Rattus norvegicus: one gene and its partner. The protein of the gene in region 1 interacts with the protein of each later gene in a biochemical or structural test. Links are inferred from orthologs where the notes say so. Each region holds a gene or a part of one and is shown on either strand. Other genes may lie near its edges.

Evidence for each region.
Region 2: the proteins of Nr4a3 (region 1) and Six3 form a complex in vitro, tested with the Homo sapiens proteins (3 studies listed by BioGRID). The link is inferred for Rattus norvegicus from reciprocal best matches to the Homo sapiens genes NR4A3 and SIX3.

Annotation. Positions count from the first base shown.
Region 1 is NC_086023.1:67,154,619-67,160,649, reverse strand, and holds the start of Nr4a3 (nuclear receptor subfamily 4 group A member 3), read right to left. Parts: upstream 3,453-6,031; 5' UTR 2,930-3,452; intron 2,609-2,929; exon of another isoform or gene 1,200-2,608; intron 1-1,199. UniProt on the Homo sapiens protein: Transcriptional activator that binds to regulatory elements in promoter regions in a cell- and response element (target)-specific manner.
Region 2 is NC_086024.1:14,792,416-14,798,353, reverse strand, and holds the start of Six3 (homeobox protein SIX3), read left to right. Parts: upstream 1-2,097; 5' UTR 2,098-2,452; coding exon 2,453-3,273; intron 3,274-4,916; coding exon 4,917-5,109; 3' UTR 5,110-5,464; coding exon of another isoform or gene 5,465-5,554; 3' UTR 5,555-5,938. UniProt on the Homo sapiens protein: Transcriptional regulator which can act as both a transcriptional repressor and activator by binding a ATTA homeodomain core recognition sequence on these target genes.

The sequences.
Region 1 (6,031 bases):
CTACACCCACTGTTGGTTTCCAGCTTGCGAAGTCAGGAAGACCGAAGTAAGGGAGACACTTAAGGAACGAATAGAGCCCGAATTGGGGATTGTGGTAGTGTCAGTGAGTATGCTGAAGAAAATAGCCATTTTTCAACTCCGACGGCCCCCACTCCTCAAACACAAATTTTACACGCCGCGTAGGAAATGCACAAGGTCCGGAACGAATGCATGAATGCCCGGAGGAATTAAGAAAGTCTGTGCTTTTCATTCTAAATGCTAATGGAGCTTCCCTTCTATTAGTCGCGAGTTTCGAGGGCCAAGGGTCAAGCAAACAAAAGGGCACAGAGGAAAGGCCTAAGCTGGGAGCCTCGCGCTCCGGCAGACAGCTTTGGCTGTGGCTGCGACGGATCAAGGGAGGTCCCCTGCCCTCAGCGGGCGGTGTCCCCGAGGGTGGGCGGCCTCAAGGCTCCAGGCCACCGGGTGGCTCAGAGGTGGTACATTCCGGAGAGCGCCCAGAGCGGCTCCCGGGCGAAAGTCCCGGTGCACAACCTAGTGAAACTTTGTAGTTGGAAGCGCAGCTTGACTGGCAGGGAGGAGGGCTCTAGCTGCCCCTAACTCCGGCTTATAGCGCCCCCTTTGTTCGGGGTGGGCACAGCTCAAAGGTTAGAAATGCGCCCCCTCCCCCCTCGTGGGGAACCCAACCCCCAAACTAACCAAAAGATCTCTGGTGAAAGCTGGACCCAAGGGTGGGGTAAGTTTCATCTCCTGCCACTCCCGCGCCCAGAGTTTGCTTGTAGAGAGAAAGAGGCTCGGGTTCCCCAGGTCTAGGAAATTCTCGATGGCCAGGAAATGGGGGATTCCCTTGCCATCCCCAACCCGAGGTACTCCGACGGAAACCTTGCGCTCGCTGAAGCGTTGGCACGAGTGGATCTTTCCACAGCTGTAGCATGTGCTTCTCGTCCTCCCCCTCTCGCATCTTCAAGGGGGGGGTCTTCCAGCAACCCCACCCCCAATTCTACTGGGTTTCCTATCCCGACTGTCTCTCGGAGCCTTTCAAGAGTAGTCTTTCTTTCAGGGGCAGCCTCTGAACTCTGGTGGGCGGGGGTCGCGCCTCCCCAGGAAAGGGGTTCCTCTCAGAGGTCGGCACCCCGCCCATCGTACAGCCCAGCCCAGAGCCCCATCGCTCTCTCCGCCCCCCGCCCCGATGGTCCGGTTACCTAGGTAAAGCCTCTGCGCCTGGAAACACGTTCTGTCGCTCAGGCTCGTGGCCGCTGGGGCCGGGAGTACAGAGCCTCGGGGTTGTAAATTAGGAAGAAATAACTACCTCTGTCAAAGCCCCTTTCTTTCTCCGGGGCAGACGAAGGGAACACCCCCGTGTTCCTCTCCCCGTGGTGAAGTGTGTGGAGGAAACCGTGAAACACACCATTGTGACCCGGGCTCCTCCGCGGAGTTTCCAATGGGGAGCGGGGGCGGAGGTTGGGCGGGGGCAAGAGAGGTGGAGAAGAGACCGGCAGAAAGGGAAAGACAGAGATTCTCAGAAAGACCGAGGGAGCTGAGACAAACCCCGGGGGAGAATTTCTGTGAGCCAGCGCTGGGTCCAGGATTGGGGGGGGGGGGCTGGGGGCGCCTGTGGAGGGAGTGGTGGCCCGGGCAGTCTTTGGCGTTCACGTTAATGCGTATCTTGCTGCGTTAAAACAACTCCAATAAAGTAATTTCATTCATTGTATTCAGTATGCGCGTTGGGCAGCTTTTCTTTCTCTAACTTGGTTCTGTGAGAAACATTTCCCGATTGTTGGGAAAGGAGCTCCGGAATTGGAATAGCGAAGGAATGGCTGAACCGAACCCTGTAACCTCTCTCCCAGCACTCCAAGGCCCAAGGATAAGCAGCTCGAGAGTACTGATGACCACACTCCCCGCGGCTCTTCCCTCGGGAGAACCCGGGCACATAAACAAAAGGCCACCTCCAAGAACGTTCTTGGAAATCAAGGGACCAATGATCATGAGCTCCCTCCTGACTGCCGGAAGCCTCCAACAGGTTCGAGAAAGTGCCTTTGAAAGCCAGTCTCCGCAGACTGAGCTCTGCCTCTCAGCTCTCTTTTTCATCGAGAACTTTCCTCCTTACCAAGAATAAAAACACTCGGAGCAACTTCTCCGAAAGCGCATTGAAAAGTAGTAACACAAGCCTTTCCCACACCAGTCAAGGCCCGGAGAAGAGGGACGCCGTCCCCACGCGTGTCGGGGCGCGAGAGTCGGCAATTACACCCGATTACCTCCGTGGGGAAAAGTGTAAACCAGCAAGTCGGCGACGCCTGGCAGACGTGCCTAGTGGAGCCCCGGGCTCATTTCAATACAATAAGCCGCATTCCTACAATTACACCCTCTTTGCTGAGCTCCTCCAGCGCCTCTGCAAACTCTGGCCGCTGCTGCCCAGGCAGTGTCCCTCCTAGGCTTTCTCCCAGACAACCAGCTTCATTTCACCATTAGACACATTAACTCGGACCCACCAGAGTCCCTATTTTCAATCCCACTTAAAAGGCAGGAAAATTACTGCCGTTCATCACCGGGGCTCCAACTCTCTGCCGCAGCCGCCGCCGCCGCCGCCGCCGCCGCCGCCGAGAGCATCATTACCATGACAACTAGAGCCGAAATACCCTGAATTACAACGCTGGAGCAGCTATAGCACAAATCCAGGTCCTCCTCTTTGTTAGAGGCTTTTCGCCTCTTTGGGTGGGGAGAAGAATCTCACAAGCTCCAGAGTCCCCGAGGGCCAGCTACAGGGGAAAAGTTTCAGATTGGAGCCCACCGCTCGCCTGGGGAGCAAAGCCTGAGAGGGGAGGCGGCGGGGGGGGGGAGCCCCACATTAAAAGTTGTCAATTTCAGGAGCGACACTTCCCAGCGCGCCAACTTTTAAGCAAGTCCCCATATTAACTGGGCATATTGTACGTACTTGGGTTCTGTGGAGGTTCCGTCTTTAGAGCGAGTTTCTAGAGAGCGACCCCGAAATCTGGATTGGGGGAGAGTCACAGCTGCTGTCCCGGAAGGGCTGCGGTGCACAAACCCAGCGGCTCCCAGAGGCGGTGAGCAGCGGCTGGCTGGGGATGCTGCGATCCCAACTCATGGGAGAGCGCCGCCGAGAGGTTCCGCAGGCGTCCAGTCTCCGGCTGCGACCAGGGGCTAGGATGTCGCCACGTTTCCCACCTCCACGGCCACTGCCCGCTCTGTCAGCGTTGCAAAGTGAGCCCTGGAGGGGCGTCCGGCTGCGGCGCGGCGCGGCGCGGCGCGACACCGGCGAGGGCGCCGAGAGAGAGGGGTGTGAGCGCGCGGGAGAGAGTGGAGTGTGTGTGCGGAGCGTGTGAGCGCGCGTGTGTCTGTGTGTGCAAGTGAAGGAGCGGGTGTGAGCGTGTCTGTGTATGGGGAGCGGAGGAGGAGCAGGCGCTGGAGGGGTGGGGGGCGGGAGGCAGGAGACTCGGCTCTCCCGGCTGCGCGTTCGCTCGCTCTCTCGGCACGTCATTTATGCCACAGGAGCCCTAGCGGCCTCTCCATAGAGTGCCTGGAATGCGAGACGTCAATGTGACGCCATGGGACGCTACGTCACCCTCCTCCTCCCTCCCCTGGCCCAGCCGGTTCCGCGTGTGCGAGGGTGTGTGTGTGTGTGTGTGTGTGTGTGTGTGTGTGTGTGTGTGTGTGTGTGTGTTCGCGCGCGCGCTCACGCGCGTTCCCCGGCCATTCTCAGGGACGCACAATGGAAACCGCGGGGAGCTGCGGACCACAGCCCTGAGGCTTCTCAGATTCGCGCCGCCAACCCCTCTGCACCGGAGCTGCTTGCCAGGGCGCCGGTCTACCGGAGGGTGCCGCAGCCCGCCCGCGGGTCAGGCGGGACCGCCCAGCTGTCAGGCTCCGGGTGGAGTAGAGTTGGAGGAGTGCTGCTGGCTCGCCTCCGAGGCTGCCCCGAGGCACCTAGCCAGGTCGAGGGGGTAAGAGAGAGGACAGCTCTTCCGAAAGGGAAGGCTACGCCAGCCAGCTTCTCCGAGTGACCTGGCAGTCACTGCTGAAGGAGTCTGGCACCAGCCCGAAGACTCCCTGAGGTGCAGCTGTGCTTTCCTCATGCAGTGGTTCTAAGGCTGTTTACGTCTCTCTGGCCCTTTGCGCCTAGGCTAATTTGCCTCTTCCTCCTGTCTGCTGTTGGTGTTTCGCCCTAGGATGCAGACCGCTCCAGGGACAAGATTTTATTTCTTTACACTTATGGTGTGGTGTTCTTTACTGGACACTTTATAATCCAAAGAAATGCACATCGAGCCACGCGCGCGCTGCACGAGAAACTATATATAAAACAAACACACCACACGTGTTGAACAGCTGAGTGAGTCTGACTGTTAAACAGATCCTCTACTCCTCCCCTGCACCGGGTCACACTTGGAACTCGCACTTTCACTTTTTTTGAGGGTCGTAGACGCCTCCCCTTCCATCTCTCAAATGAAATATTTCAAAATCAATCAACAGGATTCATTAAGCGGTCTCTAGGGGATCTTTCCTATGGCCCATTTGTCTTCCAAGTATGCAGAAAGTCTGGGCGACTGTATAAGGGACAGCGATTTCTTCCTGGAAATGAATTTAGGATGTCACTTTCTTGCTGAAAACAAAGCAAACCAGACAAACAAAACCAAAACATGTTCGAGTTTGGAACTCTTAGTTCCAAAGGTGGCTACTAAGTGAAAGTAACCTCTCTCAGAAATGATTGTTTTACGAAGGAAATGTTTGAATGAAACAACTCAGACAGACGCGGTCTCTGGTGGTCTGCTAGAATCCCAAGTGGCATTTTTTTTTTTTTTGACTTGAGCCTGTGGGTGGCAAAGTTGGGGGAAGAGGATCCCCTAGTCATAGCACATGCCCCAGAATCGAAGAAGGTTCGAACTGGGACCAGAAACTCGAAAACAAAACAACACGTGCATAGTGTGCCTCTCTAAGTCTACGCCTCCACTTTCACTTTAGCAGGCTGGTGTGCTTAAGACCGTGAGAGGACGCTCGGAAAGTTGTCCCAGCCCAGAGGAACCGAGCCCCCTGGCTGCGGGTGCGTTCCCATCCTAGCCCAGAAAGAAGGAGGGCGCTCCTACATTGAATCCATTCAAAGGCTGGGGGTTGGGGGAGCAGGACCTGGAGCCGCGCGGCGCTGACGCACGCGAGGCGCGTGATTGACGCAGGCGATGTTACTAAATTGGGCGGTTGGCCGGGCCCAGGCGGCGGCGCGCGCGGCAGATAGCGGAGTAGGTTCCCCTCGGTCACCCCCTCCCGTCTCCATTCAGCGCGGCACGGCGTGGGGCGGGGCGGGGTGGGACGCGCGCGTCCGCGCCGGGATCCGGCGAACCAAATATAGACGGGTCCCGGCTATTTTTAGTGGGGCGTCGGGCGCGCGCGCGCGCCGCACCAAGGGGCGCCCCGACTCGGCCCGGAGAGCGGACTGCAGAGTCGCCATCTTGTACTCGGCTCGACCCGGTCTGGTGCTGGGCAACTGGGGGCCGAGGGTAGGGGGCTGGAAGGGAGGCGCGGGCGCGAGCGAGGCGCGCTGCCTATGGCGCGCGCGCTCTCATGGCCCAGCGCGGTACCCCCCAACTGCTCGCCCCGGGCTCTGCAAGCCTCTGGGCCAGGTCCCGCCACGGAGACTGCCGGGCCAGCCCTGACTCGCGAGGGGGCGGAGCTGCCGGCGGCCGCCACTTCCTGAGAGCCGGGGATACCCATCCCGGACGTCACGGAGGAGTCGAGGCGGCGGTGGCGGCCCGGGGCTCAGCCTGCACTTGCATCATGGGTGAAGCAGCAGCTGCCCCGATCCTTTGTGCCCCCCCCCCCCATTGAGTATCTGCTTTGTTAACTGAAAATACCATGACGGACCAGTGTGATCACCAGTTCCAGACCTCAAAGAAAGTGAAGCTGTCAGGCAAGAAGAGGGAGACTCCCCCAGCCGGCTGCGATGGTATCTGGTGGGTGGGTGTGTAGAGAAGCACTTGACAGTTTTCCACGTATTACTTCTTGCCTAACTCTTCACCCTTAAGAAGGT
Region 2 (5,938 bases), on another chromosome or scaffold:
TGTTTTTGTGTCCCAACCTTTGGGCTCTTTCTGGGCCCGCAATGAGCGACCGCCCAGTGCTTCGCAGTTGAGCGGAAAAGTACTCCTGGTCCAGATGAAGATGTTTGGAGAGAGAGAGAGAGAGACCGCCAAAGTGGGGCTCGACGGGTCCACCTTTTAGGGGAAACATTCTTCTGCCCTGGTCAGCGACTTTAAGTTCCCCCACCTGTCTCCTGGTAAAAAGCCAGTATAGTTCCCTAGCCCAACCCAAACATTCGGTGTCACCCTCAAATCGGGTTTGCACTCCTCGGCCCTTTAAAACCTGGCACTGCCGGATCAAGGCCTAAGAAAGACCCGAGCTTGAGATTTAAGGCCTGCGACCATTTTGGCTCCAGCCTCCAGTTGGGTTCACGTTTAAATTCTCCCACAACTTCTTTTTTTTCCACTCCTCCCTCATTGAGATCTCCAGAGTGGTGTGTACCCGGCGCCGCGCCCCCAGATCTGCATCGGAATGTAGAAAAGATCTTTTAGAAAAAAAAGTTTTGAATTCCTCAATGATTTTTCTTCTGGAAAGGCAGCTTAAGATAATTATTTCAGCTTTATTGAGGGCAGATTAGTTGAAGTCTGGGCGCTGCGTTTCAATACGCGTTGTACATGGGCCGACAATGTGGGCATTGTTGGCTACTGTGTGTGAATCCATTCAACATATACACTTTTTAACACCAAACCGAATCCTGTCTAAATATACACAGTGCGTAGGGAAAGATGTCTCTGACCCGGACAAATCTGCGTAAATCACACTTCCATAGTTACAGAAGCCGCACAAAGGGAGGCCGGCCTCAAGATGCAGATTACAACTTCTCACAAGCAACATACCTAAGAATAAATAAATGCCCATGCCTGGCCTGAGGGCTGTGGTAGCTGCAGGCAGGAAAGACCCTCTGTGTTCTTTGAACAAGAGGGGTGTCTGTTTCAGGGTTATGGTATTGCTGTTTGAATGGAGAATTTCGGCTTGGAGTGTGTATTATAGTTGTTTACATTATGAGCAAACACTGAACTTTCAGGCCTTGGGTCTTACTCAGGGTAGCCCCGAAGTTTCTGTATCTTTTGGGGGAATGTTGAGCACGCCAAGGGGTGTCCTCATGGATGTAGGAAAAGTGGGCATCTTCCAGACTGCCCATGGTCCAGAGTCCCTAGGTTTCTGGCCTCCTGTTGCTAGTCTACCACTGTGGGAGGCAGTTGAAGTCTGGGGGTGGGGTGGGGGAACAAAGAGTGGAGTTGCTTTAGAAGACAGAGAAAGTGTAGTGTTTCCACTGTTTTAAAATACACGGTGATGGAGAATTCAACCAATGCTTGGCTGGGAGCAGAACTGTGCGATGGCTTGGGAATGGAGTCCAAGGGCACTGGCCAGGAAAGTCCTCATAGTCTGTGTTGTCTTGGCCCTCCTAGGTAACAGCTCCCATCTACTCCCATCTCCCCAATCTAGGCTCCCCCAGCGGCTTGCCACGGTGACTATGCAATGAGCCTTGTCACCTCTCCTCTTTCTTCCTGACCACTATCAGTGGTCACATGGACAGAAGGAGGTGGCTGGGACACCATGTGCAAACCTTGCTGGGCCACCTGGCCTCTTCTAAGGCTGCCTGGTGCTCCCGAGGCTGGGAACCTCTTCCTGCCCCCAAAACACTCCTGCTAACTAATTGCTTATCGCATTCAACTACTCTATGCCTATTCCTTTTCAAATTTTTAGATCAAAACTTCTTTGAGCAGGAGGAGGAAGAGGGAGAGGGGAGAGAGAGAGAGAGAGAGAGAGAGAGAGAGAGAGAGAGAGAGAGAGAGAGAGAGAGAGGGATATTAAGAGTTGCAAAGATTTTTTTTAAAAAATTCTGTTTCGTCCTCTTCTCCCTCCACCCCCCCCCCCTCCGGCTAAGTGGTAAAACCTTCCTTACGTACTCAGTATTGATTGGCAGGGCTGACAGTGATTGGCAGTGGTTGCCGTGGCAACGCCACAACGACACGCCACAGACCAATAGAAAAGCGAAACAAAATGTTTCAATGCTGCACTCACTGTGGATTTAGGGGAGATATTATGAGGCTGTTGTCATTAGGGCGATTGCTGTGGAATCGCTGAATCTTGACTCGGCGGTGGTTGGCTCTCGCTCTCCTCTCTCTCCCTCTCCCTCTCCCTCTCCCTCTCTCTGCCTCGGGTTCTCTCTCTGCGCGCGCGCACCGGGCCGCTCTCCTTCCTCCCTCTCTATGTGGCTGCGCGGGTGTGTGTGTATGTGGATGTGTGTGGGGTGTGGGTGTCCCTTACGTCCTTCCTCCTCCCCCTCCTTCTCCTTCTGCTCCCCCCTCCTTTCCATCTCCTCCTCCCCCCTCTTCTCTCCCTCCTCCTGGTCCTCATCGCCCCTCTCCTCCTCTTCCTCCCCTCTCTCTTCCTCTCCCTGAATTTTCTCCTCTCCTCTCAGGTCAGTCCATGGTATTCCGCTCCCCCCTAGACCTCTATTCCTCCCACTTCTTGTTGCCAAACTTCGCCGATTCTCACCACTGCTCCCTACTTCTGGCGAGTAGCGGCGGCGGGAGCGGTGCGGGCGGCGGCGGCGGCGCGGGAGGAGGCGGCGGCGGCGGCGGCGGGAACCGTGCGGGAGGCGGCGGTGCTGGCGGAGCAGGCGGCGGCGGCGGCGGCGGCGGCGGCGGCTCCAGGGCCCCCCCGGAAGAGTTGTCCATGTTCCAGCTGCCCACCCTCAACTTCTCGCCGGAGCAGGTGGCCAGCGTCTGCGAGACGCTGGAGGAGACGGGCGACATCGAGCGGCTGGGCCGCTTCCTCTGGTCGCTGCCCGTGGCCCCTGGGGCGTGCGAGGCCATCAACAAACACGAGTCGATCCTGCGCGCGCGCGCCGTCGTCGCCTTCCACACCGGCAACTTCCGAGACCTGTACCACATCCTGGAGAATCACAAGTTCACCAAGGAGTCTCACGGCAAGCTGCAGGCCATGTGGCTCGAGGCGCACTACCAGGAGGCCGAGAAGCTGCGCGGCCGCCCTCTCGGCCCGGTGGACAAGTACCGCGTGCGCAAGAAGTTCCCTCTGCCGCGCACCATCTGGGATGGGGAGCAGAAGACCCATTGCTTCAAGGAGCGGACTCGGAGCCTGCTGCGGGAATGGTACCTGCAGGATCCCTACCCCAACCCCAGCAAGAAACGAGAACTGGCGCAGGCCACCGGCCTCACCCCCACACAAGTAGGCAACTGGTTTAAGAACCGGCGACAGCGCGACCGCGCAGCGGCGGCCAAGAACAGGTCAGTGGCGGGGTCCGCGGCTGGGCCACAGCCTTCGGGACTAGGGAAGGGGAAACCGGTTGGAACGCAGGCGATCGGGACACGGTAGGGGGCGGCTGACCCAGCGCTGGAGACGCCGGTGCTCTCTGGACAGTTAGAGAAAGTTTCGGATTGCTCTAGAACAGGGATCAACCAGCTCTGGGTTTATAGATTGCTTTGCCCAGGAAGGGCTTTATATCCAGGCCAGCGCTGTGTGAGCATGCCTCTGGTGTCCTCAACCCACCGTGCCTGTCCCTGGGAGCCTTAGCCCCTCACGGGTCTCTTCAGGCCTGTCCCCAGTTAGAAGGTTGGAAGGAAAGAAAAACAGGACTTGCTATCTGATTATTTCGTGCACCGCAAAAGGGACGGGGTGGGTGGCTTAGAGGCGTCCATAAGCATCAAAGAGGGGAAAGTGGGCCAGGTTCCTGCCACGAAGAGAAGGCGAGTGGCCACTATCCCTCGAGCTTCCCTCCCTGACCCTGAACAGGAGAGGCAGGCCCGGAGTGAAGAGGCCTGGTGAGTTTAGTGTGTTCTCCCTACATCCTCCGTTATGGAGCATCTATTCCTTTGGTCCGCCGCAGGTGCAGTTGTCCCAGGCAAGTTGGTTACAAAGTCACAAAATTGTTTTGGTTCTGGTGGATCTTTAAAGCTCCACCGAGAGAACGTAAAGAGAAAAAGGAGAGGGCAGAGAGAAAATTAGTGCAAAGGGAAGGGAGGAAAAAGTAGGGGAATCCGGCAACAGTTCGGTTTGCTCAGTTTGAAAGGCACTAGGCCTGGGCAAGGAGCAGGGGCCCTGGCTGCTGACAGCTGCTGGTGGCTGGAGGCTTAGAGTGTGTGTGGGTTTAGGTGACCCAGGCCTGAATTCACTTTCATCTTATCTCTGCCTGTGGCGGCCACTTTTCGCCAGATAGGGGGAGAGCCCACGGCCAGTGAAAGGCTCCTAGGTTCAGGCAACTGCTTCTTCACCCAGAAAAGAGACCGTCTGTCCTTCTCTCGTGTCTTCTCTTTCTTCTCTCTTCTTTCTTTTCCTCCCCCCACCCCCATTCCCATCTTTAACTTCCAGCTACTCTATTTTCCCTTCCCCGTGTCCTGCGCTTTCTACATAGGGATTCAGAAAGGAAAGCAATGGGTGCTCTAAGGAGAACCCCTACAGCTCTGGGTGTGTGTTTGGGAAGGCCCTGGCAGGAGGCTCTGTGGAATCCCTGGTTCTCTGGGCAGCGGGTCCAGTTACATGAGCCTCGGAGGCTGCGAAGGAAAAGCGAAGCTCTTCCTCACTGTCTGCTGGCTCGGGTCTCAGCGTCCTTTGCTGCCTGCTCAGGTCTCTGCAGGAGGCTGGCTTGGGAGTCTACTCTTCCTCTGAGGCCGTCCCTATCTGGAACGCTTCCCTGGGCTAGAGAACCGGGAGCTCGGAATTGGGTTGGGAAGTCTCTGCGGGACTCAGGGGACAGCTGGGTGCCTGGAAGAACGCGAAGTGCAATCGAGGTGGCTAGGGGCACGCTACGCGGGAGGCCGCGGTTGTAGGGGAGTGTGGGCCCAGCCTGGCCAGGTTCCCCGCGGTGCCAGCGAGGGGAGCACGGCGGCGGACCACCGAGTGAGGGCGGGCATGGCTCTCTTGTTCCCCGCAGGCTCCAGCACCAGGCCATCGGGCCGAGCGGGATGCGCTCGCTGGCCGAGCCCGGCTGCCCCACGCACGGCTCAGCAGAGTCACCGTCCACGGCAGCCAGTCCGACCACCAGTGTGTCCAGCCTGACGGAGCGCGCGGACACTGGCACTTCTATCCTCTCGGTAACCTCCAGCGACTCGGAATGTGATGTATGATAGCCAAGGCCGCCCTCCTCCTCCTTCCCCTCCTCCCCCTCCACCTTCCCCTCCTCCTCCTAGCCCTGCTCCTCTTCCTCCTCTTCTACTCCATCCCTAGAACAAACCGAAATCAGGATACACAGCCACACACACACACACACACACACACACACAAGTCCATACACACTCCCACCCCAGCCAAAAATATATTTAAAAAAAACAAGAAAAATAAATTAACCTCAAATCATCAACAACCCCCCACCACCTACCACCACCACGGCCACCCCAAAGGACCGCGACGCCAACAGACAGTCACAAACGCTGATGTTGCGGGCAGAAAGCATAAAAGAGGTGACAATTGTATACTTTCTAGGACAAGCACGGCTTCTCCTTTTGGTTCCCACGGACCCGGCACCCCACCTGCATGACGATTTATTTGTATCTGGGAAAATATTCTCTCTAGTTTAAAATGATTTAAAGAGTCGACTATACAAAAAAACGCCACCATCGCCGCCGCGACAAGACGACAAAAGCAAACAGACAAAAAGAAAAAAAATCTGACATCTCCGTTCTGAATTTGTTTTTTTTTTTTAAAGGAAAGAAAGAAAGGAAAAAAAAAACTCCTCGAGAGAAATAGCAAATGTTTCTTCCTTCTGTTGCTCTTTTCTCCTTTAGCCCTATCCATCCATCTATCTATCTATCTATCTATCTATCTATCTATCTATCTATCTATCTATCTCTGTTTTTTAAGTCCAAGTATTGGTCAAACAAGATGCAATCCTCTGTTTTTGTTCAGCCGACAATCATTTTCTTCGTAAGCACCTTTTTCTCTCCACTCTGTCACTGC